Linked DNA regions of Drosophila melanogaster. The protein of the gene in region 1 interacts with the protein of each later gene in a pairwise test. Each region holds a gene or a part of one and is shown in the gene's direction. Other genes may lie near its edges.

The links.
Region 2: the proteins of DCX-EMAP (region 1) and CG2680 interact in a two-hybrid assay, tested with the Drosophila melanogaster proteins (one large-scale study listed by BioGRID).

What each region holds. Positions count from the first base shown.
Region 1 is NT_037436.4:14,897,409-14,914,698, forward strand, and holds the start of DCX-EMAP (Doublecortin-domain-containing echinoderm-microtubule-associated protein), read left to right. Parts: upstream 1-6,396; 5' UTR 6,397-6,828; coding exon 6,829-7,572; intron 7,573-17,290.
Region 2 is NC_004354.4:2,702,829-2,717,088, reverse strand, and holds CG2680 (uncharacterized protein), read left to right. Parts: upstream 1-9,661; 5' UTR 9,662-9,746; coding exon 9,747-10,136; intron 10,137-10,232; coding exon 10,233-10,760; 3' UTR 10,761-10,938; downstream 10,939-14,260. Other genes in the region: CG2694 (uncharacterized protein), read right to left, coding at 1-323, 384-1,575, 1,656-1,751, 1,809-2,312, 2,483-2,578, 2,636-2,801, 2,879-2,959; CG2685 (uncharacterized protein), read left to right, coding at 3,348-3,411, 3,468-3,593, 3,658-3,755, 3,819-4,996, 5,067-5,259; CG2681 (uncharacterized protein), read right to left, coding at 5,543-6,118, 6,188-6,769, 7,403-8,125; eIF2Bbeta (eukaryotic translation initiation factor 2B subunit beta), read right to left, coding at 11,023-11,095, 11,164-11,549, 11,640-12,096, 12,166-12,252, 12,316-12,371; Ugalt (UDP-galactose transporter), read left to right, coding at 13,633-13,801.

The sequences.
Region 1 (17,290 bases):
GGCAGGACCTCCGTTCCCACTTTTCAACTTCTCCATTCTTATGTGCCAAAGCATGTGTTTGAGCACTGAAAAATGTGAGCAACTTGGGCAATGCAATTAGTATTCTGTTAAGCAATTCATTTTTAGAAGCATTTCACTAAGTTCATTGAAAATTATGATGAATAATTCAATTTTTGTACGTAATTGGTTATGATAATACATCGTATAAAAATCTATAGAAACTGCGACATCTCTAACACATAACAAAACTCCTATATAACTATTTATTTATTTTATTTGATTAATCTGTCGAACGCTTCTTGTTTTGCAGTGCATGTGCGTTCACATAAGTTGGCCAAGCTGTTGGGCTGCTTGTGGTCGGTTTGCCTTCCAGCCATATTCCCATCCATTCATTCAGTTTGACATGGCAGCTGCCTGGTCAGCCATCCGACGACTCCCTTCTATATAGCACCTCCCTTAGCTCGATTCCTTTCCTTTCCTTACCATGCCATTCAAAGAACTCTTGTTATGCTCGCCCTGCTTGCGGTTTTGTCCATGGCCAAATGCAACAGCGTCTATGGGAACGCGGTGGTGGTTGGGGGTTTGTTGTTCAGCTGAGTGGCAAGACAAAGCTTGAGCCGCAATCGCAGACCCCCACACGGTGGAAAAATATCATGAGCATTCGTAATCAATCAATCAATTACTTCTCCTTGTTTCTAGCTTATTTTTAAGTGCTTATTCTTAAATGTTTAAATTGTACAGCTTATATAATATTTTTATAAGTATTATAACCAATTGTTATAATACATTCTAACTTAGTTAAAGCAAAACAGTATAAATGTACTTTCATTTCATTAATATCCTCTTTTCGTCTGTATAGCCAATGACCATGTCTTGTAGCCGTAGTAGTTGCCGGAGTCGCAATCGGAGTCAGTTGAGTGCCTTTGTTGCGGTTCATTCAGTTGTATATGTGGCTCGGCTCGGCCGAAAGTCCTTACCGTGGCTTGTTGCTTGGCTTATAGCTCTTGGCCTGCTCCTGGGCCCTCTGATGCACTGTTGCCGTCGCCTCATCGGGGCTGTCGCATTCTTCAATGTCTCCTTTTAGTAGCGTCATGGGCTTCATACTTTGTATTGAAAAGTTTTCGCGCGCGACTGACAGCAGCTGAATGGGAAGTCTGCCTTTCTTTCCGCACATATATAGATATATATGTACATTCCTCGTCTTGGGAAACTTTGGCTTGCAGCGGATATCCCAATGCTCCACTTGATTCAACTTCAAGTGCTATATAATCGCAATTAAGTCAGTACTTCCAATTGAATAAGTACTTCGAAACGTAATCGATTGCCTGCCCAACATAATTGTTACTACAATTATACAAGATATAAACCTCCATTTTTAAGTCTTAAACGTTTGGAATATCTTTTTCAAATTTAGTTTGTTGGGTAAACTATTACTTTCGCCGTCCACTGCAGTCAATGTGTTTCTTTCCCTCTTTTTGGCTTGATTGTGTATATGTGTCTGTGTGTGTGCATTGTCCTCGTTGCCATTGTTTAATGGTCACATTAAAAATGCCTCATTGTTGGCTCTGTTGTCGTTGTCAACTTCTGACCGCGCCCTTTGCACAATATTTTCCACTGCATTTCGCCATTTCGCCCACCACCCAATGTTCGCCACCCCGGCCATTTTGCCATTTTCCTGCAATTTTCTTTTTCTTTCGGCCACGGCGCAGAAAAGTATGCAATACAAAATGCATGCCGGCGGCATTGGACTTTTTAGTGGCTTGCATTGCACTTTCTGTTTACTCGTACTTTGCAATGGTGTGTGCATGTGCGGGAGTGTGTGTGTGTCTGTGCATGAGTGGGTGTTTGCACGTGAGTACATTAGCTGGAAATTTAAGGTGGGCACGTGTGTGTGCATGCTGCTGCACAGTGGGCATTTACAGCAAACAAAACATCCTTTGTGGGCATCGACTTTTCGTGGATTCTGCCACCGCTGCCGCAGTACCAGAGTCCTTCATGTGAGCACAATGCCGAACGGCAACAAGGTGCTGCAGCCTGCACTTTTGCACCACCCGCACCTTGTCCCACCCGCTCTCTGGGGCATTGAAAGAGCTCATTATGGCAGGTACCTTTTTACCCAGTGATGCTGGAATCTAATCCAAAACGAGGGCAAGATGTCTACAAAAAAGTTACTAAAACGTTCAACGCCTTTAAGAAATATGCAATCCAATAGTGTTTATTCACAGAATTCTATAATTACAGAAACCAAATATATAAAATTAAACAAAGAAAATTGTAAAAGAATCTGGTATAGCTATTAAAAATTTTCAAAATGTGTATTTACGGTTCCAAATAATATAATAATATAAAATGGATACCAATATATTTAAATAATGTCTGAAATACCATTTTATGTTATCAAGACTTCCTGCCAGCACAGTCCCTAAGCACTCTCATGCACTTTGATTGGTGGCCGAAAGTGGGAGGCACAAAGGAGTCGTATTGGCAACAGAAAGGAAGCTTATTTTAGTTGTTAACTGATGTGGGCGTGCCACTGTTGGCTCCTCTAATAGTTTGTTGTTTGCCAGCTTGGGTCTGTTGGGCAAAATTAGATAATTGAAATTGAAACTGGATAGAATGATGCTTCAGATCGAAGCTACGTAAGTCAGCTTAAAAGTTTACCTCTGCGGGGCATGAGAAAATTACTTTGAAATTGCCATTGGGAAAAAATTCCCATTTAGCGGAGTAAAGATAATCCGCAGCTACTTTCATCTGATGATTCAATTGTGTGGCAATTCACAAAGCTGGCGAAATAATTAAACAGAAATATGGCTGAAAATCCATAAATCAGGCAGCCAGCCGGAAATGGCATTAAAATAATACATTAACTTCACCAAAACGTTGCGTCGCCCACACAAAAATGTGATTAATTTAAAAGAATGCGAGGGCGTACGGCGAAGGAAACTCACGAAGTTATTAACGGAGAGTCCTCGCCCCCAACCAATACAATTTACGAGTAATAGCATTGTAATAAAAACAAATTTCCACAAACGTTTGGCCTAATTGTACGATAGAAAAAATGAAAGCATTACCCCAGCCAATCTCTACCACCCGCCAATAGAATTTATTTCTGCGGTTTAGTGGGAGTGTACTATTCGCGGGGACTGTTGCTCGTGCGACCAGCGTGACACAGAAAATTTCACAGCACTGCCAAAAGCAGCGAAAATAACCCACAAATTGTTTTGGCCAAGTAGTTGCATGTGAGTGGCGCATAACCAGCCCCCTCGAGGACCCCTCTATCGAGGGGTATGGCACCTTCTCTATGAGAAAGGTGCTGCTGCTGGATCCGTGAGGTTGACGTTGACGTTGCTGACTAAGGCGACGACAAAACACACGAACATAAACCCCAAGCACACACAACGACGACAATATAAACACGATAAGCAAAAAACTGCGACTTCCCCTCGGGGAACGTGCCCCAAGTCAGAATTTGAAAGCGAAGTGGTGGTGGTTAATGGCGGTGTTGGGACGGGGGAAGTCAGGTACTGTGGTGCAGTGTTTGGGAATTTCGAAAATATAAATATAAAGTTTCAATTACGTACCATTAATCCAGCTGCCATATCCAGTCAAGCGATTATAAAAGTTAATCGTTGGGAAAAATGTTTTTGCAAGCCTCGGATATGGCTATAAGCATATATATGCTTGCTTATTAAATTATATTTTACTACAATTGTCATTAAATAATCATAGAAAATGTTGGGAAACTCTCTTTAATGTAAATAAAACAGGGCTTAGATAATTTGTATTATTTTCTAGAAAGTGTTTGTGCCTTTCCTTTGACCATCTTCTAAACCAAATATGTATTATATCATTTAGAAAATAGCCATCCAGCTTATTAAAGTCAAAAAAATCTAACCACAGTGCCATGAAGCCTTTGAGCCACAGGGGGTAAAAGGACCTGCTTTAGCTAAAGCTACGGTGTTATGGTAAGCGTTTCCCTACCCTGCAGCTCTCCCCTGGAAATCAGTTTAAAGGCCGAAGCTCCGCCGCGGGCAAAGACACAATCCCACAATCAATCGGTCAAAGCCAGGAATCTACTGGATCCCATGCGAACATAATAATTGGAGAGGATAAGGAATCTCCTGGCGACGCCACTGGTCGACAGGTAATAGTGCAATGAGAAAGGTGAAAAAGCCAAACAGCTAAGAGAACACAGCAAATGGCCCACTGGATTTTCCTTTGCACTGGTATGAGTGCATGTCTGTGTGAGTGTGTGAGTGTGTGTGTTTGTGTGCGAGTGCTTGTGGTTTTCCTAAGCAGGGCACAATTAGTGGTGGAGCAGCGGGCGGGAAGCGGTGGGCAGTTAGCCCCATAAGTCAGTCACTCACACAGGCGAACGTGTAATTCGATTCGCGATTCGAGGAAAGGAGGTAGAAAGAGAAAGGCACTCTCTAAGAAAATTGGCTGCGTCGCCAAGGAAATTTAGAGTGGACAAAAGGCAGCAGTAGCAGCAGAAGGTAAAGCTGCGGGAAAACCAGCAGAACAGCCAGCAGGCAGCGCCGCTCGAAACACACTTCAAAAACACTTTGACCGGCAAAGTTGCCACACGGAATTTCTTCTTGTGCATCGGTAAATGCCAGAAAGTAAGCAAAACTTTCGCACTTTTGTTTTGGCCAACTTTCTTGCCAGCGCGAGAGATGTTTTAATAAACTCGCCTTCGAGTTCATTAAATTTGATTCAAGTAAATGGGTTTGTGCTATCCGATAAGTGAGTGTTTTTCCCGTTTTTCCCCGAAAAACCGATCCAAAAGTGGAGACAATTGCGGCTGATTGATAGGCAATTAGTGGAAGTGGATGCTGCTGATGTTGCAAGTGGAGAGGCACAACTGTTTGTGCATAAATAACCCAAAGCAACAACTGCCGGCCCAAGTGTCATTAACCTAATTGCCGCAAAAGAAGCCACCGCGCCACTTTTACCCCAACCGAAAAAATATACGGCCATAAATACGACGACCAAAAGGAAGAAGCAACGTGCAACGTGTTGCAATAAAAACAAATTTGCATAAAACAGGTAAATCCAAACCCAAGCCCGCCGCCACCCCACAAATAAAAAGGTGAAACCATAAAAAAAATCAAGTAAAAGGGCTCACCAGTGAAAATTCCAGCTCCCTTGGCCCACAAATATTTATTTTTTGTTGCAATTGTAAAATACACGAAATTCCAATGCAGTGAAAAGGACTTGGATCCCGGTTTGTGTGGAAGTGTGTGTGAATGGTTGTAGGTGAACTGTGTGTGAGTGTGAGTGCAGAGTGGTCAAAGACACAAGAGACCAATGCCACTTAAGCCAGGAGTCGTCGGCTTGTTCCCTGCCGTCTGCAATTTTTCGGTGCTTAACACTCGATGCACTGGGGAAAAATCAGGAAAAACAGCCAGAATGATTTTCCTTAAATCTAAAATCCTGTTTCTGGGGTATTCAGATGTTAAATATAACAAATTTGCAAAGTGATATTGCGGGTCCTTTTGTGCGAGTTTTTAGTTAGATATTAGTAATAATATATAGAATATATATATAAAGATACAACTAGAATTGTTTATGCATTTATTTTGGACACAATATAGTTCTTGAACCTAAACCCAAAATGGTTTAGAATTTTTTCATACGACTTCGAGTGTACCCTCATCGATGTGTGAGGTAGCCAAATGCAAGGCAAGGCAAGGCAGGGCAAATAATACGCGATATTTTCGGCCTCTCCAGCGGGAGAGGAGAGGAGTGGAGCCGCCTGAACTGTGAACCCTGAACCCAGAACCCAGAACCCTGTCCCTCGACCCCGCAGAAGTGTGAATGTTTGTAGTGCCCACGCCGAATGGTTGAGTGGGGCTCTTTGGTCTGTTTGCTGGGACAAAGGCAGTGGCAAGTGCTCGCCGGACAGCCCATTGAATCCTTTGGAGTCCTGTGAAGTGGGGGAGTCGAGCAGCAGGCAGGCTGAGAGGGCGGAACTCTGGAGAGCCCTGGGCAATGGGAGCATTGGACACATTGCATCGAGAGTTCGTGGCATATCGATTACGTAGAGGGTGAGGATATAGTTAACAGTTGATATTTCTAAGTGCAAGGCTTGAGTGGAACAAGGACCAGGACATATGTATGCTGTGTTTGAGGATTATGAATGAAGACATTACATGGGAATATATATTCGATAATTACAATCTATTGACATGTTAAAGGCTATCAGAGAACTGTGAAGATTTGGCATTGTTTCTCCACAGTTGGTACATGATAAACAATTTTGAATCACGAATATTATAACTGATAGATTCCTTAACAGAATTTACTTCCAACCTTTTATAGACCTCTTATATTAGGAGAGTGACGTTCGATGTTCGAACCGATGTTTTATAAAAAAATGTTTTTTTTTGGTTCCAAAAATATTATTTAAAATGACTTAAATTAAATCCTTAATCAAATTTCTAATCAAACATTTTCCACTTTAGCCAGGCCAGCAACGTAGTTCTTTGCTGGGCAACCAGCGACTGCGTGCTCGAAGAAAACCTCCAAGAAGTTGCCCCCCTTTTGGGAGCTCCAAGTTTTCCTTTGCGTCGACGCGACGCTGCCCTTAGCGATTCCGTTTGACCACAACAAACCGAGCACGCAAGTTGAGCCAATTCCTTAAGAGAAAGCTGACGTGACTGCTTTAGGAGCAGGACAAGCAACAGTACCAACACCAGGACAATGTCCAACGAAGAGAACGACGACTATATGGCCAGCTTGAGTCAGGCCCAGACCGGCGAGGATGAGGTCGATGGCGGTGGAGAGGCAGCTGGCAGTAACGACTCCGTTCTGGGCGGCCAAACAATGCCACAAATTAGTCCGAACGCACCGCTCGAGGGAAACGTTTCGCCGCCACCGACGCAGCCCCATTTGGATGATAATCTGCACAACGGGAACGGGAACGGGAACGGCATCCACAGCAGCAGCAGCAACATTAACAAGCACGGCAGCAACATCAACGGCAACAACGATAGCAACCGCAGCAGTCCTGCGAAGAGTCCCAAGCGCCCAGTGTCCTCCAGCTTCCGGATTCAGAACACCAGCCGGTACGATAATGATGAGGAGGACTTAGCAGCCAGCGAGCAGGTGGCTGGTGGAGATCGCCAGGTGCCGGATTATTGGCAGCAACGGAACGGTGCGACCACTGGTGCAACCAGTGGGCGGCAGAGTCGCGCCATTAGTCCCGGGTATCTGGACAACATGAGCGAGAACTCGGAGCAGCCGCCAGTGGTGCCGCTGGTGCGATCTAAATCCCGTCCAGAAATTTCAAGTGCAGCGGCATCGCGATATAATAATCTCTCCTATTGGAAGGCACGCCGTGTGGTGTTCTACCGGAATGGGGATCCATTCTTTCCGGGTGTGGAGCTGCGCTATCGTCCCGGACGGGATGTAACCTCACTGGACAATCTTCTCGATAAGATCTCGCCCAAGATGGACTTGCCACGGGGTGCTCGATATGTGTTCTCCATGGACGGAGATCGAAAATATCATCTCGATGAACTGGAGGATGGAGCCTTCTATGTCGTATCCTCGTTCAAGGCCTTCAAGGTTAGTACCAGATTATTTGCATGCATTTCTGCTTTCAGCTCAGCTAAGTTTTTCATTATTTTGAAGTTTAAGTGAGAGTTTTCACGTCAGGCGCAAAATCAATATAAATTTGAATATTTTGGTATAATTTTAGTTAGTGTGCCGGTTGTGTGTGTAAGTGTGCATAACATACATAAAACTATATACGAGGTTTTGGCGTTTTTTTGCGGTCAGCGCTGTGGAGTGAGAAAACTTGGTCACTTGGCCTAAAAATCAAAGGCGTCGCTTTCCTTTCGGCTTCTTTGTTTTGCTCCCTCTTCTTCGGAAAAGCGGGTCCTTGCGGGGGAAATGGGTGAAGTGAGCGGGTGGGTGGTTAGTTGTTCGGTGGGGCCACATTTTTGCATGCAAGCACTTTCGTTTTCTCTCGCTCTCATTCACATACACATTCGCATTCACTCACTCTCGCTGTTGTGGGAGTCTAGCCCTAGAAACAATGCCAACAATTAGCACGCCTTTTGGCCTGCCACGAGGGCAAGTTGGGAATTAGGTCTTAGCCTTTATGGTCGACTGAGAGTGGGCTAACTTGAGAGTTGGGACGGCTAAGAGAACAGTGGTTCTTAAGAGTAGCTCAGTTGAGCAAAAAAGGATAAGGACATTAACTCTTTAGGCCGAAATGGTCAGCTGGCAGTTTATCGATAAGTTCCATCAATATACTGAAAGCGGTGGATGGAATCGAATTAAAAGTAACAGATTTAACGATAACTTTTCATCCAAAAGTTCGAGGGAGAAAATTATTTCTTTTATTTACATAGTACATTAATTTCTTGATTCTATAAAACAAGTTAATTATATTAATGTAAAAAGACTTAAGTATAAGAAACAAGGGGATAAAGTCATAAAAACATTGTATGAAATTCGAAAAACCATTTCGTCACCCAAGGACATTTTTTTAGGCAACCCATTTGAAGGGTTGACTTTCGCATAAATTTCAATCAGATACTCGCCAAACAGTTGGCTTAAAAGTCTTCTCTTTTTACATCTGGCCGAGGCAGTTGGCCAAAAACAAAAAAAAATCCACACAAATCGCAGACATCATGCGGGTGCAGCAATCAAGCGTCCGCACATCCAACATGTTCCGGAACAACTATTGAAAAAGTTTCCACCTTCCGTTTGACAAACGTTGTGGGTGGCTGATGATGATAAGGCTGAGTGGGAGTGGCTTTGGGAGTTGGGGTGTTTTTGTGGGATTGGCTGGAGAGGCTGCGGCAAACCATAATCGCTAACGACCAAGTCAAAAGCCATCCCCGACTATGCGTCTAATGCAGTCGAAGCGTGAGCCAAAGTCAGGATGTGCCAGTGCCCAAGACAAAGAAAAAAGGCAGCCATTCCATCCCGCCAGGATACCCAAGACCCCACACCCGCCATCCACCAGGTTGGGGCTTCTCCTCCGGGCTCCACTACGGGACACCAAGTACCGACTGCGACTCCGGCCTCAACTTCAGCTGCAACTCGCTACGGCAAAGGCAATTGCGCCTGGCCCGCGGCTAGCAAACAAAAGCGCAGCATGGAGCATGCAGAGTGCACTTGCGAAAATACTTCAACCAAGGATATTTTTTTTTTCGGTCAAGATTGACAGAACTCATACATATATATTCGGATTTTTTGTTCTTGGTAGAACATGAGAGAAGTGTCGAAATATTTGAATTTTTTGTTTTTTCTTTTCCTCAAAGATCTTCGGCAACAGTTTAATCTTATTCTGAGCGTTTAATAAAATAGTGTCATTTCATTTTTTAACTACTGCGCTTGAAATATTGTATTTAAAGTACTGAGTATGTAACCTGATTTTGCAACATTAAAAAACTTTTGAAAAAATCACCGACATAAAATGATTGAACTGAGAGTTTGCGGTTTTCACCAAAAAATATGGTCAATAAAAACCCAAGGCCAAAATAAACCGCAATTCGCGGTTTTGTTCAATTTATTTCTGAAAATTGACTATTTATGAAGAATAACTATAACTTGATGTAGCTGTGGTCAAGAATGGTATACATTTAAAGTGAAAATATAAAAAAAATTCCATTATTGCTAATTTAAAATTTGAATGCGATTGGTAAAGAAACTTTAACCGTTAAGCCGAAAAAATTGTGTCAAAATCATAGAGTTATTTTGGCCGTAAAGTACAAAGGTTTAGTAAGTTAGCCAAAAATGTATTTGTGATGAATGGCTCAGTTAAGTATTTATCCAGTATGTATCCAAAATCTCAGAATTTTCAGAAAATTTTATCCGGGAATTGAAAATGTACTTGTTCCTGATACTAATTTTGGTGTGCAGAACAGGAATCTTCGATGAAAGATGTTTAGCCCTACAAATTCCCAATGAAATAAGAAAAGTACCCATTTTTTCTCTATGTATAGGGCTTCGCTCCATTCGCTGCACCGCCTGAAATCAAAACTTATGATGAGCCAGCGGCGCTCTCTTCGGCAACCAAAGGGGATCCGTTGTGTGGGGTCGTGGGCTCCAGCTCCACGCCGTGGCACAAAAGGCCACAAAGAACAATGGAGCTGCGGGCACATATATACTCATCAGATGGGAAAATGCATAGAAAATCAGCCGGCACTTCGGGCGCTCTCACGCGAAAAAGGCCAATTTGAAAACTTGTGGCGTTTCACTTAGGGAAATTAAAAATGTATGCAAAGTACTACGCCGAACGGGAGGGGCCAAGAAATCGGGCCAGAGCAGGCGCAAAGTGCATTTTGGCCTGGCTAATAATATAAATTCATTTTGCGGCCGAGCCGAGCGGACGAAAACTGTTTACAAAATCATTTATGATAATTTATTCAACCGGGCATGCGTGACGACACTCACGCCGACACGCGAAATTTGAATGATTTTGGGTGCAGCAAATTGCATTAACCTTGTCAAAAGCTTGCCCCGCCAAATAATTGCTGTGTTGTGCGCCAAAAGAACCCGGAGTGGGTGGCTTGTGCACACAGTTTGTAATCAAAATTTAAATTTCTAACCATCCAGAGAAGGTCGAAGGCCCAACAGTGGGTTGAGACAGAGGAATTTTCAGACAATGAAAAGGAAACGTCGTTTTTGGTTGTTCCAAGGAGCCGAGGGAAAATAATGGGGAAGGGATTAACGAGCATTAATGGAATTTGTTAGCTTTCTCTGAAAGGAATTCAAGTTGCTGTCGCCTTAACAATTTTTCATTTCCATATTCTTAATTTGTTTATGGTATACATCTTCTTGGTAAAGAGGATGGAAAATAATCTCAAAGTAAATTTAATAAAACCAAAGGAATGTAAAATGCAAAACAGAACCCTTTTGTAATATATTTTTTGGCCGTTATTTTAGCCTTGGGCCGCATAAGGATATTTCATTTAATGCTAAAGTCCTCAATCGGTTAATGTATAAATCCATAAATGCTAAACACACTAAAAATTGAACTATTTTACCCTTTAACACATGATATAAATAGTATCGGCTCTGACCCCATAAAAATTCAATTTAAAAGCTGACCAACTTTCAGTAGAATTAAGAATGTGTCATGCCATAAAAATATTACAAAATGTTTGGTTTCAAGAAAATGAAGAAATGATTTAATACCGCCCTGCATTTTGTATTTTATTTAATTTATTTTGTTCTTCTGCCACCACACCTTCGAATGCAGTTGCAATGTCATTTACAAGCTTTTCTCTTTTTTCGACCGCAATATGAAATTCCATTTGAATTCTCCTTGCTGGCCAATTTAGCGGTGAAATTAGATATATATCGTGCAATTTAGCAACTAGCCCAGAGACCAGAATTCTGCTGACCGATAATGCCACTGTGCCATAAATACGCCTTAAAGGTGCAGCACGCCAATTATGAATGATGGTCAGGACTTTCCTTTGCTTTCCTTTTCCTGCTGCACCCCAAAACCCGGTTGGCCAAGAAAAATGGACACGCAGAGCCGCAAAGAAATTAAGATTTTTGGCACAAACGTGAGCGGCATGCCAAGAGAACAAAAGCCAAAATGCGGGGCATGCAGCACGCAAGGTCAGCGCCATTGTAATTAACTGCATATAAAGTGGGCAGTGGGTGGTAATCGGCAGTGGTAACGGGCGAAAGGCGAATGGAGAGCGACCAGATTTCACGTCAATTATTTTTTTTTTTTTTTGCCTGCCAAGGCGGCCAACTTATGACCAAACAAGCTGCAGTGACATGTGAACAAGATTAAACCCCACAAACCACCGTCTCGTCTGCGTTATTTTCCAGGTTTTCCGCCCTCATCGCTTTTCCACACCGCAGAAAGCCAAAAACTTCGGAACTTGCCTTTGGGCTATAAAGCGTTTGATAAATTTCGCTGCCATTTACGTGTTGCACGCGCCAGGGATGTGAAATGTGGATGAACCAGCTGGCGAGCGATGGCGATGGCGATGGTGTGGGCTCAGATAGTTGACTATGGCTAACAGGTGGGGTATGGACTGTTGGTGGTGGTGGTGGTAAAGACGAGGTGAAAGGGGGTTAAATGGCGATGAGGGGCCGGGACAACTGTGTCCGTTGACTGCACCTGACGACATAAATTGCGCATTTGCGTGGTCGTGATCCTTTTCACTTACAGCGCCACGACAAAATCTCGGTTGCCTCCAGAGCTGCCTTTTGCCCCTCCCAACCCTTTAGCTCTGCACCCTACCCCTCCATTCACTTCGAAAATTTAACAAAAGGTGCAAGCCAACCGGGCGTATGAGTAATGCGCGTTTGTGTGTGTACAACGCGTCTGCTTCACAATTACAAGAGGATTTTATACTCAATACCCACTGAACGAGCGGTGAGCAGGGGAATATAAATTTGGAAAATAATGTACTTATAATTATTTTGAGAATACGGATATTCATACTCAAAAAAAGGCAACAAGCCAGATTTATCTTATTTATTGATTAATTTATAGGGAAGTATATAACTCAATAGTTTTAAACGTGGCTATTTATTTTAATTATACAATAATATAAAAATATATATATATTTCATAAATTCGTTGCTAAATATATTGAAAACTGTACAGAACTTCAAAGAATATTTATGAGTATATATAATTAATAGAAATCCATTAAACTTTTATATAAGAAAAAATTTCCTGATCACTCCACAGTTCGAAACTCCGTAACTTTTCCAGCTCCTTTGCTGCTGCTGCAATGATTTTTTAATTGCTCGACACAAATATAAACACAGACTGGCCATTTTTTGTTGTTTTCTGCTGTCCAGCATTGTTGACCGCTGCTGACTCTTCTCGGCAGGATCTACTGGTGCCATTGTGGGCTCATTTTAATGATTTTCTGACTACGTCATCAGAGCCATGCTTGATTTACATTTTTGAGTTGTCCGCCGGTGCAGCATTACGGCTACTGATTGCATTGACAGTTGGCACACGTAGCTGCTGCAGCATCAGGATATTCAGGGGATTCACATCGAGATTCTGGAGTGGCAGAAGGATGGTGGGGAGTTTCCAGGCGAAATGCCATGGATTTTTACCGTTTAATTGCCGCCTTTCATCGCATTCTTAATTTGTTGTTCGCTGCCATTTTTTTGTCCTTTTGCACTTTTTCATTTAAATTTGTTTGCCAATCAGGTCGTATGAAAAGGTCCGAAATAATTGCTCCATTCTGCGGATAGATTCGATTATTGAAAAATTACATTACTACTTGTATAATTAAATGGCTTTCAGGCCGGGAACAATAACAAACAATTTGTATCACGCCTTCGAATCTAATTGGAGTCAAGTTCGAATTGAGTCGCCAAATTGTTGAACAATATGCGTGCTCGATTGAGAACATGTATTACGTGTATGTGTTTAATTTGGTCGCACATAATGAAGATGCAGCAGGCTGAAATGTTGTCTATACGACAGAGGGAGGTTTTTGCAGTTTATTCCAGAAACCAACAAAAAACTTGGACTTTTTGTTAAAGATATATATTATTTTAAAAAATATATAATATAATATACATATATAATATGTATATAATATATATTATGTAAACTATTAGGCTTGTAAAGATATAACGTATATTTTTGGCTTAACGATTATTTTAAGGACTTTTACATTTTTAAAGTAAAAGTGATATTACACACGTAATTAAGCTCTACTGCCCTTTATTTTTTCGTGATAATAAACTGCCCTTGTTATTTTATACAATATTTTGGTCTCCGATATGAATTTCCATATAACTGACTTATTGCAAACGATAATCAGCATCAATCCGTATTATTCGACAACATTTATTCCTTAAGAATCCTTGATCAACCCTCTGTAGTCATAATTATGTGTTTACATATGTATGGACATATGTATGGGCTCGAACGCGTCTATAGCCTTAAGGCGTTTTGCAATTATGGCAAAAGCTACAGCAACAGCAGTAGCAACAACCATGGAAACTTGGGCGGGGAGCCAAGAGATTTTGCTTACGAAGACGCCTATTAATATTACGCTCTCGCCGTGTTGCAGGCGCATTGGCTTGGAAAATGTGACCCAGACCGCCATTGTTGTTGGACTGCTATAGTTTTCCTTCGGGCAGGACTAACAATTAGGAGCATCCAGATGCCTCGACGCAATTGGGGCTGGGATTTCGTAAGGGCATTAATAAAGCACTTTAATAAATTAGTCCAACCGAAGCACTTAAGCGTCTTATCAAATCAGAGCAGTTGCATGCCGTGGCTTAACGCACACATTTGCACGAGTGCGGTGCATAAATATGTGAATATTCATATATATGTTTACCCGATCCTCATTGTGGTTGACATTTAAATGGCTCATTGTTGTAGTTTGCGGCCATTGAAATTGCACTAGCAATACGGGAGGCGGGTTGCGGGTGTCGGGACAGCAGCGACCGCATGTGCGAGTTCCTATGAAAATATGTAGGTGTTGAAATCGAAAAACAGCTCCGGACAATAATAACAATTATTGAAAACAATGAAACACAAATGAAAAACAATATTACCAGCCAGCCATCCTACTGCCCGCAAACATCCATGCCCATAAATGGCCTACGGTGGGTTATTTTCGCCATTGAGTTATTAAATGTGCCTGTCATGTGCTAGTAAAAAAAAGGAGCCTCTAAAATAAAATAAAAGTTTAATAGTCGTTTGGTGTTCCTCTCCATTTTGATGGGTTAAATAATATGTATGATTTCATTTGGAGCATTTCAACTATTTCGTGCAATTTTAGTTAGCACCAAAACAATATCAGACGAATAAATATGTTTTGGAGATTATTTTGAATAACAGATTTAAATTATAACATAATTTCTACACATACTGAAAATATAATGCCATAGCTTTATTACTGGCAATTTCCCTCATTGTCCCACAATCAGGCATTAAGCAACCCACACACTCGCAATAAAAGGACATGCCGTGAGCTCTTGTCCTGCCACTCGCCCACAAGCAGAAAGGACGTGCTGGACCAATACAGAGGCACTCGCTGGATTTTTCTGTATAAACATGACAATTTAAAACGCATTACAGTGCGGCAATTAATTAAACTGTCATTGGTTTGCAAGATTCTGAATCGTTTCGCCGCGCCACAGAGTCAAAATAAATTGTATACAAAAAGCGCGCACAGGAGAACACAAATATTGCATTAAAAGCCAGGGGAATGGAGAAGGTTCGCCGGGTTGACTGGCAACAGTAAAGCATTGCGTAAATTTATTGAATTGTAAAAAGAACATATATCAGCGTTTTTAATTGCAACGCCAGCAACAACAAGGAGCCGGCGTGTTGAATAAATAGCCGAGGACAGTTTAAACTGTTGAAATTGGAAGGTTTCCGAGTGCCAGTAACGGTGGAGAAACTATAAAAGTTTATCGAGTAGGCTACATAAAAAGGGTTGAACTTATTTGCTTACCCCTTTTACGAGAGGGAAATTAGAATTGGCCATTTAAATCATCGAAGATACTCGCTCTTTTCCTCATTTGACCCTTATTGAAACAGCCGCAGAAGTAATCCACTTTAACGAGTCCATAAATGGTAAACGACTGTTGTTTTGTTTTCAATGAGCTGTAATAATTTCACTCGTTTTTACTACTTCCCGTGTCCATAAAACAAAATTAAAATATATTAACTTAATCAAAAGAAGAGCGAGTCGCAGAACTTTTTGGCTGCTCGGAAGCCAATTTATGCTGGTCCAGAGCACAAGTTGCCAAGAACGGAAAGCCGCAAACTCCGAGAAAAACTTAGACCAGAGCCAAATGACAGTAATTAGAATTTGTTGGAATTTTTTTTTTTGGTTATTTGGCTATTTGTTTATTCGCTCTACGTTTGGCAACACGGACTCGGCTGTTGCCAAAAAAGCAAGTGGCCAACTGGCAGCAACTGTAATAAATGACAACAAATTCCTCGCAGCCAGGGAAGTCGTCTAAACGTTTTTTCCCCGAAAGGCATAAAGGAATAAATAAATTATTTACACTCGTACACCCACATCTTTTTGAATTTTCCGGAGTTACGAATGCAGCCCACTGGATATAATATTTTCATAATTTTGTGACTGACGTCACTCGACTTTAAACTATGCAAAACAACTCAATCCATCGGACCGTGGTGCTGTAAAGCACTCGGCCAACATTCCTGTCGCCCTCAAAGCGCACAGAGCAATAAAACACAGGCCTCCAGAAAGGGGTGTGGGCTGGAAAAGCTGGAAAAGCGGCTGGGGAATGTCTTCAGCTCGAATTGATGGCGCTGACTACGAAATCGACTTGTGTGTGCCATATTGTGAGTGAGTGTGCTGGTGTTGTCTGTCCGTTGTTCCGCTAATGGTGAAAGTTGTCAAGCGGCTCAAGTGGTAAAGTGGAAGTACCAGGATAGTGGTTACGGTGGGCTGCGGCGTTATGGGTTCCGGGTTGAGGGGCAAACTTCCGTTGTTTTTCCCTCAGACAACAACTTTCACTTGAGAGAGCTGGCCCGCAGCACAAGGGAACTAAATGGTAGTTGGTCCGATAAAAAACACACCAAATCGGTATTACTCGGCCACCTTTTATACCATACTTTTTGGGGTACTCAATCATTGGATAAAAACGGCTTCTTTAAAGTGAAAAATATTTAATTAATACGAAGCTCTGTATTAATAATAACCAACTGTGGATGTGAATTAATTGCATTAGAGGTTATCGAGATTGCTTTTAAACGAGGGAAATAATCTTTTTTTTCGTAATGTCATAATTATTCTCTTTTCCGTTAGCTTTTTTAACGTAGAAAAACCAAATGTAATGTTGTTAAAAATCTTTATTGAGAGCATGTAATTCATTAAAATTACAAACATTAAATCATCTGTTGTTTTTGCAGTGCTATTAAATGAACATAGGAAATGTAATATGTTTAAAAATCCTCCTCCATGTTTACGATTTTTTCTTTTTGATTTATCTCATTGGTGATTAAACAGAATAACAATAGCTCAATGTTTTGAAAGAGAGTTAAAATATGATATTCCAAGTTTTTAATGAAATAACTCTTTTTAAAATATTATGCTGATACAAACATAAAATAATATAAGCAAAGTGCGTGGTTTTTGATAATCCTTCCATTATTTCCGAATGAAAACTTTCTCGTTTAACTGCGTTATTTTCCACCTTCGCTTAAATAAGCAAAAAGTGTTTTCCACCCATTGTGTGTGGCACACGTCGTCAAACATATTGAAAACTTTTTAGAATTTGCAAACAGTTGTCCCGCGCTGCCAACCGCAGTGTGTTCCCTTCGATGCAGTGAAAT
Region 2 (14,260 bases), on another chromosome or scaffold:
TCTTCGCGAACATTTCGTTGAGTAGCGCCATCTTCGAGGAGTGTGTGACGCCCCCCTCCGCGCCCAGCTTCAAATACTTGTCACGGATGAAACACTTGAACGGTGTCATCGTCCGATCGGAACGGGCGCCCTCGTGCATGTTCGCCTTGCTAACGGGCTTCACGCTCACCTCGAACTGGCAGTAGTAGCAGCGTATGTTGTACGATTTCAAGTCGGCCAAGCCGTAGGAGGAACGGCTGCACATGCTGCACGTATACATGAAGCTAGCTATGCACTCCATGAGGGCGGGCACCTCCGGAAAGGCCATCTTCGCCTGGTAGGTCCTGAGGAATGGGCACAGATAAGTGATGACACATTAAATGTATAGAAAGTAATGATCTTACCATCTGCGGCAGTTGTCGCCGTGACCCAACTCCCGGTTGAACAGGAAAGCCGCCACATGGCACATCTCGTGCAGCAGGAGATAGATAAGCTCGGCCGCAGTGTCTATGCTGTGCAGAAGCAGGATCTGTGCTGTGCGCCTGCCGGAGGCGTCGAAGCCAAGCTCGCATTTCCAGCGCTTCTTCATTGCGTGCTTCCAAACAATGGGCACCTGCAGGCCACAGTGGAAGACCGCGTGATTGAACATGTTGAACAGAACCTTGGCCAGTGCCACCTTAGATTGCTGGAAATTGGTCCGCCGGAAGGTGAGGGCCAGCGGATGGCACATGTTGAGCGAGACTGACGGTCTGAGCGACTGGACGAAACCGTAGAAATGTGGGTGCCGCTCCAGGCGGGCTACACAGCTCTTGTGGCGGCGGCAGTTGGTGGCTAGTTGCTTTTGGCTGGGAAGCTCGCTTAGATCAATGGGCTCCTTGACAGAGTCTGGTGTTTTCTTCTGAAAGCAGTCCAAATTCACCTGGATTATAGAGTCATCCATGTGCTTAGTCTGGAGCTCATTCACGGTCGGTGTGTAGGTATGCGATAAATTCAAGTTGGAGCAAATGGATGTCGGCGTTGTTTCCTGCCATATTCGTGACCTGGCCGATGGAGTAACTGGGCTTGGTGAGGACCTAGGTGATGGATTGGTAACAAGACTGGTCGGTACGTACACATCCATCTCAATATCCCCCCGATCCATATTGTATTCCGACGGATCGAAGAGCTTGCGACGTGATGGAATCAGACCCAAAAACTTGTGCATCTGCGTCTTGAGTTCCTTATCGTCTTCCAGAACGATATTGGGCTGTGGTTTATCCCTAATGATCACGATTTTGCCGCCCAATTCGACATAGACCATCGGAGGTGTTGCCTCCGGCGACGAGCGGCTGCCATCGGGGCTGAAGGCTAAGCTGGTGTTTCTAAAGCTACGCCGTTTGCGCTCCGTCCACTTGAGCTGATCGAAATCTTCTCCCTCATACTCATCGTCGTCGGCATCCAGTGACACCTCGTCGGAGTCCTCCTCGCCATCGCCCTTCGACTGGGAGGAGGAGGAGTAGTCAAACTGCTGGTTCGGACGTGAGACCACAACACGACCACTGCGCGTCACCACGGGTTGATTCGAGGAGATGTTCATCTCGTTCAGATTCTGGTAAGCTGCGTAGTAGCAATTTAGTAAATGGTTTAGCTAGAGCAGGTGCCCCTAAGGTTGCAGATCAATTCGACCTCTTACTCACAAATCTTTTTGGCCAACACATCGCCCTTGGTCTGCGGCGATCTGCGCTTCGCGCCCAGTTTGTGTGTCTTCATGTCGGTTTCAATGGCACTAGGATCTATTGCATTCGCAGTGTTATAATTATTATTGTTATTACTGATTGATCGGCACTCACTGCTGCTGCCCGAATCAAGTGAGAGATCGATGTATGAGGAGTCCTCGGTGAACTCCTTGCGCAGTTCTTCGAAGTCGGAGGAGTTACAGAGCTCGGACGAGTGAAGGAAGCTGCACGCCGTAGCTGAGGAATCATCGGACACTAGTATTATGCTTCCGCTGTCGCTGTTGACGGTCGCAACTGAAGCATTTTGATGGGCTTCCACCTGGGGCTGGGATTGGGGCGTCTTGCACGGCAACTTCAAATGAACCAGTGCCAATTCGGATTGACTGGCCGGCATGGGCGCTGGGTCGCAGCCAATCTGTGCGTTGTCATGGTCCTCTAGTTTCCAGTCCTGGAGCAGGCCGGCCAGAAGGATGTCCTCCGAATTGGCACTTGGCTTCGCGGACATTTCGAATGCGAAATCGAATTCGTTATTTTGTTTGCGGCTTTGACTTTTTTCGATTTGAGGTAGCGGCGTTATTTTCCTATCGTATATCGACACAAATTGCTCGAATGCCAGTGCTGAAAAACAACGGCACGAGAAGCTCTGTAAACGGCAATGTTGACTGATAGCGGGAAAGTTTGAGGCCGGTTATTGGGATGACTTAAAAAGCACAAGCACAGCTAGTTGCCTGCATGAATTTAGCTTGGGCTGCCCGATATCCCATATTCCCATAACCAGACCCACTTACCTTTTTTGGCGTTCGGCTCGTCGTCCCCGCAGCCTGGCCAGAGACGCTTCACGGCCAACTTCGGTGTCTTCCCCTCGCCATGAATGGAACCAGGACCTGCATCATGAAAACGAAATGAAAATGCAGGTGTCAAGTAGATAACATTGTTATTACCTATGTCCCACAGCTTGCGGCTGTGCAGGTTCTGCAATTTTGTGCTCTCCGTGGTGGGCACGTCCTTCTGGCCCTCTCCCGGCGTGGAGGTAAGGAAATCGTCTGAAATCCTTATCAGCGCGCCCGGTATCTGATTGGGTGTGAATAGGACATGGGATTGCGACGCCTTGCACGCGGTTACATGAAATCAACCAAATGGGCTTAGGATTGACTGACCTGGCTGGCGACTGGTTCACATCCTACCTGTACGCCACTATTGTTCAACTGTGCATTCATCCTTTCGTCCGGAATCTTTAACTGCTGTGCAGAGCTCTCGAATGCCATCGTACTGGCAATTTCGCGTCTGTTGCCGCGTTACCTATGTGGCGGTAATAATCGTCTATCGTTTTTCTAATCCTGGCTAGTGATGAAAAACATCGGAGAAAACTTTTGAGCGTATGGGATGTTAGCTATTCCCCGCCAAATTTTGTTGGTCACACTTCGAGCTCTAGTGCTTACTGTTCTGTTTTTATCGATATCAGCCTGCGCGTGTATCGGCCTATCGAGCTGCAAACGAATAAATAAATAAAAATATAAATAAATCAATTGAAAGTGATATTATAAAAGCAAATTAGGACGTTGGGCAGGAAAAAAACGCCGGTAACAATATTGCAGCGCCGGCGTTTAGGTGAAGTCATTCGTTTAGTTGCAGCAACAAGAAATAGCCAGCAAGATGGGACGCCGCTCCATAAACACCACGAAGAGTGGAAAGTACATGAATCCCACGGACCAGGCGCGTAAGTATGATCCTTTTTAGCTCGATATGTTGAATCCACCATGCTGCACCTTTCAGGCAAGGAGGCCCGCAAGAAGGAGCTCAAGAAGAACAAGAAACAGCGCCAAATGGTGCGGGCCGCCGTTTTGAAGAACAAGGATCCTTCACAGATACTTGAGGAGATGGAGAAGATCGACGAGATGGGTGAGTAGTCCATCGAGCCTGCAGGATTCGCGTCAGCCACTCATGCAGCGTCTACAATTTGCAGAGTACAACGTTCTGCAACCATCGCCGCTGAACGAGAAGGTGCTGCGCGACAAGCGCAAAAAGCTGAAGGAAACATTCGACCGCGTAATGCGACTCTATGTAAGACCAACTCGGCACGATAATAGTGTAGTCCACCTAACAACTGAAATATCCATCTTCCAGCACAATGACGAGCCGGAGCACTGGGCGGACCTCAAGCGCAAGGAGGTGGAGTATGAGAAGAAGCGCCTGAAGAAGCAGCAGTACTACGAAAGCGTTAAGCACGCCCAGAGCGTCCAGATTGACGAAATTCCACTGCCCGCTCCGGTGTCTGCCGTGTCAGGCGGTTCTACCGAAACGACTGGCGGATCGGTGGTTGCGGGATTCGGCGCATCCGTTGTCATACGCCTTCCCCCACCGCCCATGACAATGGCACTGCCGCCTTATGCTCCAGGCGCTCCACCAGGCGTGTCCAGAAATAGCGATTTAGCCAGCGAGGCGCAAGTGGAGAAATCGAAGGAGAACGAGCAAAAGGATTGGCTGGGTGTCCCGCCGGGACCGCCGCCAGATCTGTTTGCCTTTTCCGAACTCAATTCCGATGCCGAGGGAAATACTGACTACGATGGTGAGGGCGAGGAGGAGGAGCCAGAGCCATTGAAGAAGGGCAAGGATAAAGAGAAGGACAAGAACAGCGAGGCCACCGAGCCAAATAACCAAAATATCGACGACTTCATGAAGGAAATGGAGCATGTGCACAAGCGTAAGCATCGAAAACTGGCGGCTAAAGAGGACGAGGCCGACAAAAAGCGGGAGGAGGACGATGGGAAAGATATAGATAAGATAGAGGAACGAACATCTGACTCCGATAAGAGAACCGCCAGCAGTACGGACGATGAGGACGACGATGACCAGGATGAGGATGAAAATATGCCCGAAGTGCCGACCAAGCCAGCATCAGTCAAATCATCTACAGCGACACCCGCGCCAGCTCCTCCGACAGCGCCCACATTGCCGACTATTCCGCTGCCACCAGCGTCGTCTGTGCCTGCGCCGCCACAGCTGCCACACCTACCGCCAATTCCTAATCTTGGGCCACCTGGCATAATGTACCGACCTCCACCCATGCGACCTCCTCACCCGGGTTCCGGCTTTGGCATACGCATGCCACCTGGACCGCCGCCAGGACCCAGGGCACCGCATGGCCTGGGACCAATACCGCGCATGGGCATCAGGATGCCACCAGGACCGCCGCCAGGTCTGCCTCCGCGCCTTGCGCACCACAATAAGCAGGGAGGCGGCGCAGGTGCACCAAAGGAGTCAGCCAAGGGTGTGGCCACTATTACAGCCAAGCCACAAATCAGGTGGGTTCGATGACTTTCCGGCGCAGTAGAACCAATTCCCATTACTAAACATTCCAAACTTACTCATTAGGAATCTGAGTGCGGATGTCACCCGCTTTGTACCGTCCACGTTGCGAGTGAAGCGCGAGGATCAGCGACGCACGGCGAGGCCCAGGCATGCGGCCAACGATGGACACCACGCCCACTCCGAGGCGCACAGCAAGCCGCCCACCAAGGATGACGCCTATCTGCAGTTCATGAACGAGATGCAGGGCTTGCTGTAGCACGCAAAAGGAGTCGCGTAGTGGTAGCTGAGTAGTCTAAGTCCTAGATAAAACGTGTCATCCAAACCAATACCAAACCAAACTCGTTTCATTCGCAGCTTGCTACGGACTGAGATTCAAGTAACGAACGTGTGTGGAGTATAATTTGTTTTTTTTTTTTTATTTTTTATTTTATTTATTTCGGTTTTAGTACATATACAATAGATTAAAACATTTGCTATATTTACATGCTTTCAACTCTTGCGACTGTTGACGAATTAGAAAAGGCACACACACGGAATCACTACTTGCCATTGCTTTGGACCGGAGAGGTCGATCCATCCCTGACTGCCTTCTTGCTGAACGGGCGCAGCTCCACGATATCCGCCTTGAGTGCCCGGAAGCTTCTTCGCAGCGAATCCGACACCTTTTTCGTGTAACTCGTGCTGTTGCTGCACTGGGAGAGCTTATCGTCGCCATTTCCATTGCGCAGATCGGCGGCCAGCGGACGCAGCTCATCCTCCGCGGGCGTGGCATCGTTCAGAGTGTTCCGCAGATATTTCCGATTGAAGTGCAGCTGCGGTGTGCCCCACTTGCGCTCGAGCTCCACACCGCCGGCTCCGTCGGCTCCAATGGCCCCAGCGCCGTCGGCTGCAGCCGGATCCTCCTCCGAGTCCGGACTGGCCACATCCGCTTTGGTCACCTCGCCGATGGCCTCCTTGTAGGTGCGCGTAATGATCATGTTGGTCGGCACGCTCTTCACGTTGACGCCTCCATTCGGGGCCTGTTCCAGGTCCGCCGGCTGCGGCAGATTTTGGCGAGGTGGTTTTGCGCGACGCGGCGACTTGACCGCCAGCACACTCACGCGGTAATGAAGAACCTGCCGGGTGGTCGTCGAATGAGTGGATTAGTTAGAATGCTGGACATTTGGTGCTAAGTACTCCCTCACCTTGTCCTGGTCCAGAAAGCGGTTAAGCTCCGTCAGCGGAATGCTGACACATGTGCCCTCCATGAGGATGTCCTTGTCGTACTCGCTGTGCACGGGAAACTTCTGGGTCATGGACAGCGCCTCGTTGTCTGGCAGCAGCACCGTCACCTCGTAGGCGAAGTTGTACTTGCTGTCCCGCCGGTTCGACGTGCAGGTCATGGTGAACAGCACACGCTGGCGGTCGTGGATCTCGTAGAAGTTGAACATTTCGTCGTGCGCCTGGAAGACATAGTAGCCGGTTAACGGTTTCCGCCGCGTGCCTAGATTCCATTCCAGATCAGCGCTGCTTGACCGAAACAGGCGGTCGTCGTGCTGCTCCTCCAGATGCTCTTTCCACTGCACCTCGCGCCCCTGCCAGCGGCAATCGCCCCACACTCGGCCCATGAAGCACTTCATCGGCTTGTACATGCACTGCTGTTCGTGCCACGGCAGCAGGACGACCGGCATCCGCACCTGGCAGCCGCCGGAGGCGTGTCCGCACCGGAAGTGCGCCTTGGCGCACAGCGCCTCCACGGTCAGCGATCGGGAGTTGGTGAAGGGTTCCTGAAACATAAAGTTATTTGCATTGACATCGGGATTGGCATACAATTTAGTGTGCAAGTTCGAATGTGATGTGTGTTACCCATATCATATGCCCCATTTCCTAGTATTGATGGAAAGAACTTGATGATGAAGAAACTATACACTTTATCATACTTATCATAGTGATAGTATGACACGGGCTTTTCGATGTACTTATTTTGTCCATTGGTTAGCGAGCATACAAGTTTATCTATGGAAAAGTCCGAGCAAACGTTAATATCGACTTCCTTCTTGCAGATTTCAGATTCGGTTGGATATTTAGAAGATGGCACTAATAAATATGCCCTAGAAGAGTGAACTGGTGGCACCACACATTTCCTAGTGCAAGACAAGGCTTATTTTTTATAGTCACACTTGTAGTGCAGATAGTGGGGCTGCACTTGAAAATTGATTAGACACCCTCGGCTGGGTAATAAACTAATCTCCACCGGAGATCATTCTGTCCTGCGCCTGTCGATGATGGCAATCTGCGAGTAGCTTTTCCTTAGTCTATACCAATGTATATTTGCACGTCACTAGATAAGGAGCGCACATTGGGGCAATATGATATTGATAACCGAACAACACTTTTGGCGAGCTGACGTCAATTTTTACCTTGCAGAGCGGGCACATGAGCAAAATGCGGGTGCACTGTTCACAGACACTGTGGCCACTCTTGCACAGAAGGATGGGCGCCTTCATGGCGCCGGCACAGCCGGGACACCTCAGCTCCTCGATCAGTCCCTCGTAGTGGCGGGCGGAGACGGTCGGCGGGCCTTCCTCGCTGGGCGTGGCAGGGCTCTTTTCCGGCTTGCTGGGCGTGATGACGCCTTCGGGAAAGCTCTGACGGATTATGGAGCTGTCCGGCGAGAGAGCTCCATTGCTCGCTGGACCCTTGCCATCGGCGGGACCTGTACTGCGGGTGCGGCCCAGCATTGGCGGCTTAGGGGGCGGCGAAAGTGGGGATCGCAGGGTCACCACATTCGGACTTGGCAGCGTGGCGTATTTCACGTTCAGGGTGAGCGTGTTGGGGGGCACTGGTTTGGCTGGCTCCACCTTTTCGGGTTCCTTCTGCTGCTCCTGGGCTGGGACCTCATCAGGCGTTTTCTTCGCCACCTCCTCCGGGGGCATCTTCGTAGACTGCGGCTCGTCTATGGCCTTCAGATTCTTCTCCAGGTCCTCCTCCCGAACCGTCGATCCGTTTGTGGCCTCCGGCACCTCCTCATTGATCGTGCTGTTGAGAAATATGCGGCGCTGCTCGTTGATCTGTTCGATGCTCTTCAGCTGAGCCAGAATTTTTAGATCCTCCTCCTTTCCACCATTGGCCAGGGTAGACATTTTCGGCAATTTTCCTTAGTTTTTGACTAGTTGTCGTCTGGTTGTATAACCGCCGGGAACAGTTGCTCCAAGCTCAGGTGGCCGAATGTGCTTTTCTTCTGGCGGAATTCTTCGCAAGCGTTCGCAACTCGTACTTTCGTATCTTATCAGGGAGACGCCTAACTAAACTAGCTGGCCCGGCAATCGATTTGGACTTGTGATGCGATATACCAAAAAGCCGCAGCCAAAACCAACCAAACCAAACCAAACCAAACCAAAAACGCAGCCGAACCCCAAGCGACGCGACTCACACGCGCTCGCACATCAAGTACCCGCCCCGTTGGCCAGTTCTTTTGCCTTCACCGCCGCGGACGCGGACATGGACACGAGCGTCTTCCGGACCCCGCCAATTGAAATGTTGCATTTGAATTTGAATTATTGGCCATTTGTGGTTTCCTCCGTTCCGGCGGCTTTTCCATTTCCCCCTCTCCGCTTCCGTTGGCCAAATGCCGCAGCCATCAATGTCAAGGTGTTGACATGTGTGGCCAGGGTCTACGGCCCAGCACAGTGGGACCTCCGTAGGGCGACAGGCATTCTGTTGTCTACGCTGCTGAACTTTCGCAATTGTCATCATACTTATTAGTTTCTCCATGCGTCAACTGTACCTTTGCTTTTCGAACTGAGGAAAGCGTGCTCATACATGTTTCCTCGAGTGTTCACTGTACACGTTTGTGCCTGCCTGTTATAAGCTTGAGCGAACAACAGCAGCAACAAAAGGCCGATGCACCACCGATCAATACTTACATACATACATATGTATGTATGTCAATCGCCTTCAATCACGTGTATCGCAGAGGATTTGTAAGAAATGCAATTGAAAGGAAGAAAAGGAAGCATGTGAATCGCAAAATACATATAATATTTATAGCATGCCAAAAGCCTTTGAAATTTAATTAAATTTTTCTTTACAGCCATTTTGGGTTTGTGGTTTCGCTTTGATTGCATAGAATTGAATTCAATAATAAGGCTGTCAATTATTTCGAGACCAATATATTTCAGTCACATTTGGCAGTGGAACTAGTTCGATAATCTATATGGTTCTAAATTATATCCGGTAAATTCAAATGACAGTCAAAAGCATGAATAACCAAAATTTGACGAATGCAGCAGACTCATTTTATAAGTTGTTCCTTAAGATAAACTTGGTATAATCACGCGTACGCTTGATTGTAAATCCGAACTAGGAAGCAAATGAGATACATATGTATGTATGTATTTTCCGGACTGCTATCCGCTCTGTCCGGCAGATGGGAATGTGAAATAGACAACAAATCGCACGAGTCTTTCATGCCGCGTTCCACACAGAAGATCTTATATTTACATACGGAATCTTATCGGACGAGCCACTCCGCTCGGGTTCGCTAAATCGTGTAATAAAAGATACTTAGCACATATGTACGTAGGCATAGGGTTGTATGGGCGAGGGGTGGTTGGGTTCGGGTTCGAGGAACCGGGGGAACAATGTCAATGCGTTGACATTGAAGGTTAAATGCCGGCAAAGGCGGTTAGTCGGCTGTGGAATTTCCGTGCGCGCGCAACCAGCATCCAATTCGTTCCTGTAAGCCAAAAAACCAACATTACCATGTCGCCACCACGACACATTTTGAAGCTCAGCCTCGAGGAGCAGCGGCAGTTCATCGATTCCTTCGATTTGGTGATCAGCGACTGCGATGGCGTCGTCTGGCTCCTGGTGGGCTGGATTCCCAACACGGGAGCCGCCGTCAATGCCTTGAAAGCGGCCGGCAAGCAGATCAAGTTCGTGTCGAACAACAGCTTCCGGTCCGAGGAGGATTACATGGAGAAGTTTCGCCACATCGGCGCCAAGAACGTCCAGGAGGACGACATCGTTCATCCGGTGAAGACCATTGTCCGGTACCTGAAGAAGCACAAGCCGGGGGAGCGGGTATACTCCCTCATGTCCCTCGAAGCGAACGAAACGTTACGTAAGCACAACATCGAGTTTGAATCGCTGGTAAGGGGAAGGTTATTACTTATAAATATATATATACAATATATTTAGTTCAAGAGCTTCCGTGTGACTATTAAATTTCATATCATTCTCCTTCAGCAAGTCAAGGAGCACCTGACGGCCGCGTCGCTGGTGGATCACCTGGCCATTGAAAAGCCCGTGGGCGCTGTGCTATTCGACATCCACTTGGACCTCTCGTACGTGGAGCTGGCGAAGGCCATTAGGCACCTTCAGGAGAATGACGACTGCCAGTTGATAGCCGGCGGCAGCGATGTCATCATGCCACTGGCGGAGAATCTCAATGTGGCCGGGTTCTTTGACTTCCTGGAGCACGTTAAACGCTACACGCAACGCGAGGCCACGTTTCTGGGCAAGCCGTCTCCCATTTTGGGCGAAATGTTTGGCGAAATGTTCGAGATTCGTGATTGCAAGCGCTGCATCTTCATCGGGGACACACTGGTGCAGGATGTGCAGTTCGGCAAGGCCTGCGGCTTCCAGTCCCTGCTGGTACTTAGCGGCTGCCTAACAAAGGAGGACATGCTGAACGCCCCGGTGGAAGCGCAGCCGGATTACTATGCCGATAGCCTGGCCGACTTCACGCAGCTGCTTGAAAATATTCAAAAATAGGTTGAGGATCGTGTGCCGCAGGGAAATTACGAGAAACGTGCTACCTGAAATTAACTATATCAACCCAAGATAAAGTAGTAATGTTCTTAAATCGAAAACCGATCCACCGTTATTGCTTATTCGATATAATTATTGTTGAATTTTAAAGTTTATAAATGTCTACGAAATTGATGCATTTAAATCAATCCAAATCGAAATGGGCTTGCTACTTTACTGTAGACTTTATTGGTAGAATTGCTAAAACAACGAGACAAACACGATTTCAAATCTCCAAATCTTCGGGATGATACAGTTCCGTAAGGAGGCGGTACACATACGAGGGGGCATGGCCACCGCTAAGTAAAAAAAGAATCCAATAAATGCAATAAAAAAGAGTCGAAAGGCCGATAAGCGCACTACTTACGTGTTGGATATGAAAAGGGTGACCAGTTCCGGAGGCACGTAGTCGAACATGGGACTGTATACCTTGGCTTCGCGCGCTGGAATCGAATCGTAGGGTATCACATCCTCCGCACAGCCGACCATATTGAAGGCGTCCTGCTCGCACAGATGCAATGGTGAGAGTTTGTACATGGGCGCCAGTACAATGACCGGCACGGAGTAATGCTTGGCGGCCAGGGCCACTGTATACGCTCCACACGCCGCTCTGAGTCCTCCATTAGCCAGCACGCTGTGCGTACCGATTATTACCTTGTTGACGCGCGACATCATAGCGAAGATGGCCGCATCTGGGATCACAACAATCTCCACATTCTTCTCGTTGGCCAAGCTGGCGGCCAAATTGTGACCCTGTAAAAGACATAGGCAGTTGTTAAGCAACATAAGAGCATTTTCTTACACCCCACAAATACTGTCGTCCCATAAAGAGACCCAACTAACCCGGCAGGCTGGCGCACATTCGGCTACGATGATGGTGAGAAACTGACGCTTTTTGATCGCCCTTTTGAGGAAATTCTCGACGCTGCGCGAGTGTCCCAGTGTCAAGATGATCTCCGACGAATGGATGTGCTCCTCGGCCTGGACGCAGATGTTCTCCGAACTGGTCTCCAGCTCCGTTTCCACCTCCTGCAGGTGGTCGAGCAGCGCTTCCCGCAATCCATGCTGGGGCACCGAGTAATCTACGCTGACGTTGCTCTCGCTGGTCTGCGTGACTAGCTTGTGAAGCGACAGCGAGGCCTGTGAGTCGTCCGCGAAGTGTTGCACCTTGGCGTGCAACAGATCGAACTCCTCGCGAGTCAGCTTGAGGATCCGCCTGGCAATGTTCGAGGTAACCGTCTCCTGGGGCAGAGCTGCCTGCAGGATCTTACACTGGTCGCGCACAATCTGCATGAGAGCACTGTCAAATGAGGGGGAGTTGTTTATCAGTTAATGTGTTATCCTTGGTGTGCCATCCCTTGCAACTCACTCGGCGTTCTGCCAGCTCTTGCTCATGATGATGTACTTGAAGATGTCCAGCGTCTTGTTGGTTATGTTGTAGGATCCCTCCACCAGCCTGCAAAACATATGCCACTTTAACAACCAAATGAATCGCAGTGCCTGCCAACCGACGACTTACCCCACTTTGATGGCGTGGATGAGCTGTGTGATCTCCTTTAGCGGCTGTTCCTTCATCGTGTCCTGGCGTCTCTGGTCTTTGCAATTATGAATTATCAACTAAAGTGGCCAACTGTTACCATTATTCAGTTAGAAAACTATTTACGAAATCGCCACACCGAGCAATGTTATCGATAGGCGGCAGGCGAAAGCGAATTCTAGTGATGAACTCAAAAAAGTAAAAGATTTAAAATCAACACGGAAATTATTAATGTTTTCATTTATTGCATTTGATTAAATTAATTTATTTAATCCCCCCAAATGGCAATATATTTGTAATGTTGTATTGTAAATTTGATGCATCGCAATTATCAGGTGCCGCCAACAGGTTGTTCATCATTCACTGGCTTAATTTGATGTTTTATGTTTATTTTAATTGTCTGCATATACTGGCTTTCATGACGTATTTTCAACGGCAGCTGAGTAAATAGCCAACCTAGTGCGGCAAAAATAAATTTCGCTGGGCTTAAAAATTTAACATACATGTGCATGTAGAACAAGCATGCACAATATGTATTTATGTATTTCGTCCATGAGTTTTCTTGTTTTCTACTTTCGATCCCCATGCTCTCTTGTTAAATTTTAATTTTAATTTTAAAGTCATAATATATACATTAATTTAAGCAATCTCAATGCCCGATTATTGTATATCTAGCTTTTTTTGCAAGCAACTTCTTTTTTCGCGAGTTCCGCCACAATGCCAGCACTGTGACTATCGAAAAGTCGGTCTCTGCTGCGAAAATAGCAACAAAAGCTGCACGCCATGGGCGTAGCTTGCTTTAAAATGGGGATCCATCCCCCAGGAGCATATGTAAGGTGTATTTACTTTACTGAAATGCACAATGCACTTTTAAATTTTGTTTGCATTCAATTAAGAAGGTTTCGCATTTATGACCCCCGTTGCAAGCCCAGGACCACGTCCCTGGCGCGCAGCAACAACAACCACATAGGCGGCGATAAAAAGCCGCCGCTGGCAGAAGCTTCGGGCTCTGATTGTTGTTTACGTGTCGCCCGGTCCAGTGGAGTCGTCTTCATTTGCGCTCTTCTGCTTTTCTGGCCAACTTGAAGGGAACGAACTGCCAAACGGAACGGCCCGCCGACAACTGATCTTGGCCAGGAACGGAGTCTTTGTGTACCCCCAACTACGGCGTTTTGTTTGCCTTCGGTTTCTATTTGGTTTTGGAGTTGAGACAATAGAGCTAGAAGCGTAGCACCATGAATAGCATACACAGTGAGTATTTGGCCTTTAGTGCGGTGGCGTTACTCCAGCGGTACTGACATGGCGCTCCTGCCCGCCCCCGTCACGTATTCCTATTCCCATCGCACAGTGAACGCCAATACGCTGAAGTACATCAGCCTGCTGACGCTGACCCTGCAGAATGCCATCCTGGGCCTCAGCATGCGCTACGCCCGCACCCGGCCAGGCGACATCTTCCTCAGCTCCACGGGTGAGTGCTTATCCAAAAGTCCAACAGGTCGTCGGGCTCAGCAGGTCAAGCCGGTTCACCGCTTAGCAGATTCACCTCGTTGCCCAGAGCCACTTCCACGAAACCTCGACGTGGGTCTGTCCACGCAAGCAGCAACATCAGCAGTAAAAGCAAACGAGTCGAAGAGGTGGAGGTGAAGGTGGTGTAGGAGCAGTGGCAGGCGGGGAATGGTCGTTCGGGTAGATGTGAAGCTGCCAAAGAAACTGATAAGCAGCCACTTCCGCATTTAGCTCCTAATAGCTTGATAAAACTGTTGGGGAACTTCTACCGCGATAGCTCAAGGAGGTTTGGTTGGCATTCTTGAATTACATATGGGTTTACATTTTGCCATTAAACTTTGGTTATTGCTTTGGTGACTCTGTGTGTAAGTTAACCGGACTTATTTGAAAACCCGAACAGCGATACTTGGACTTATTAGTA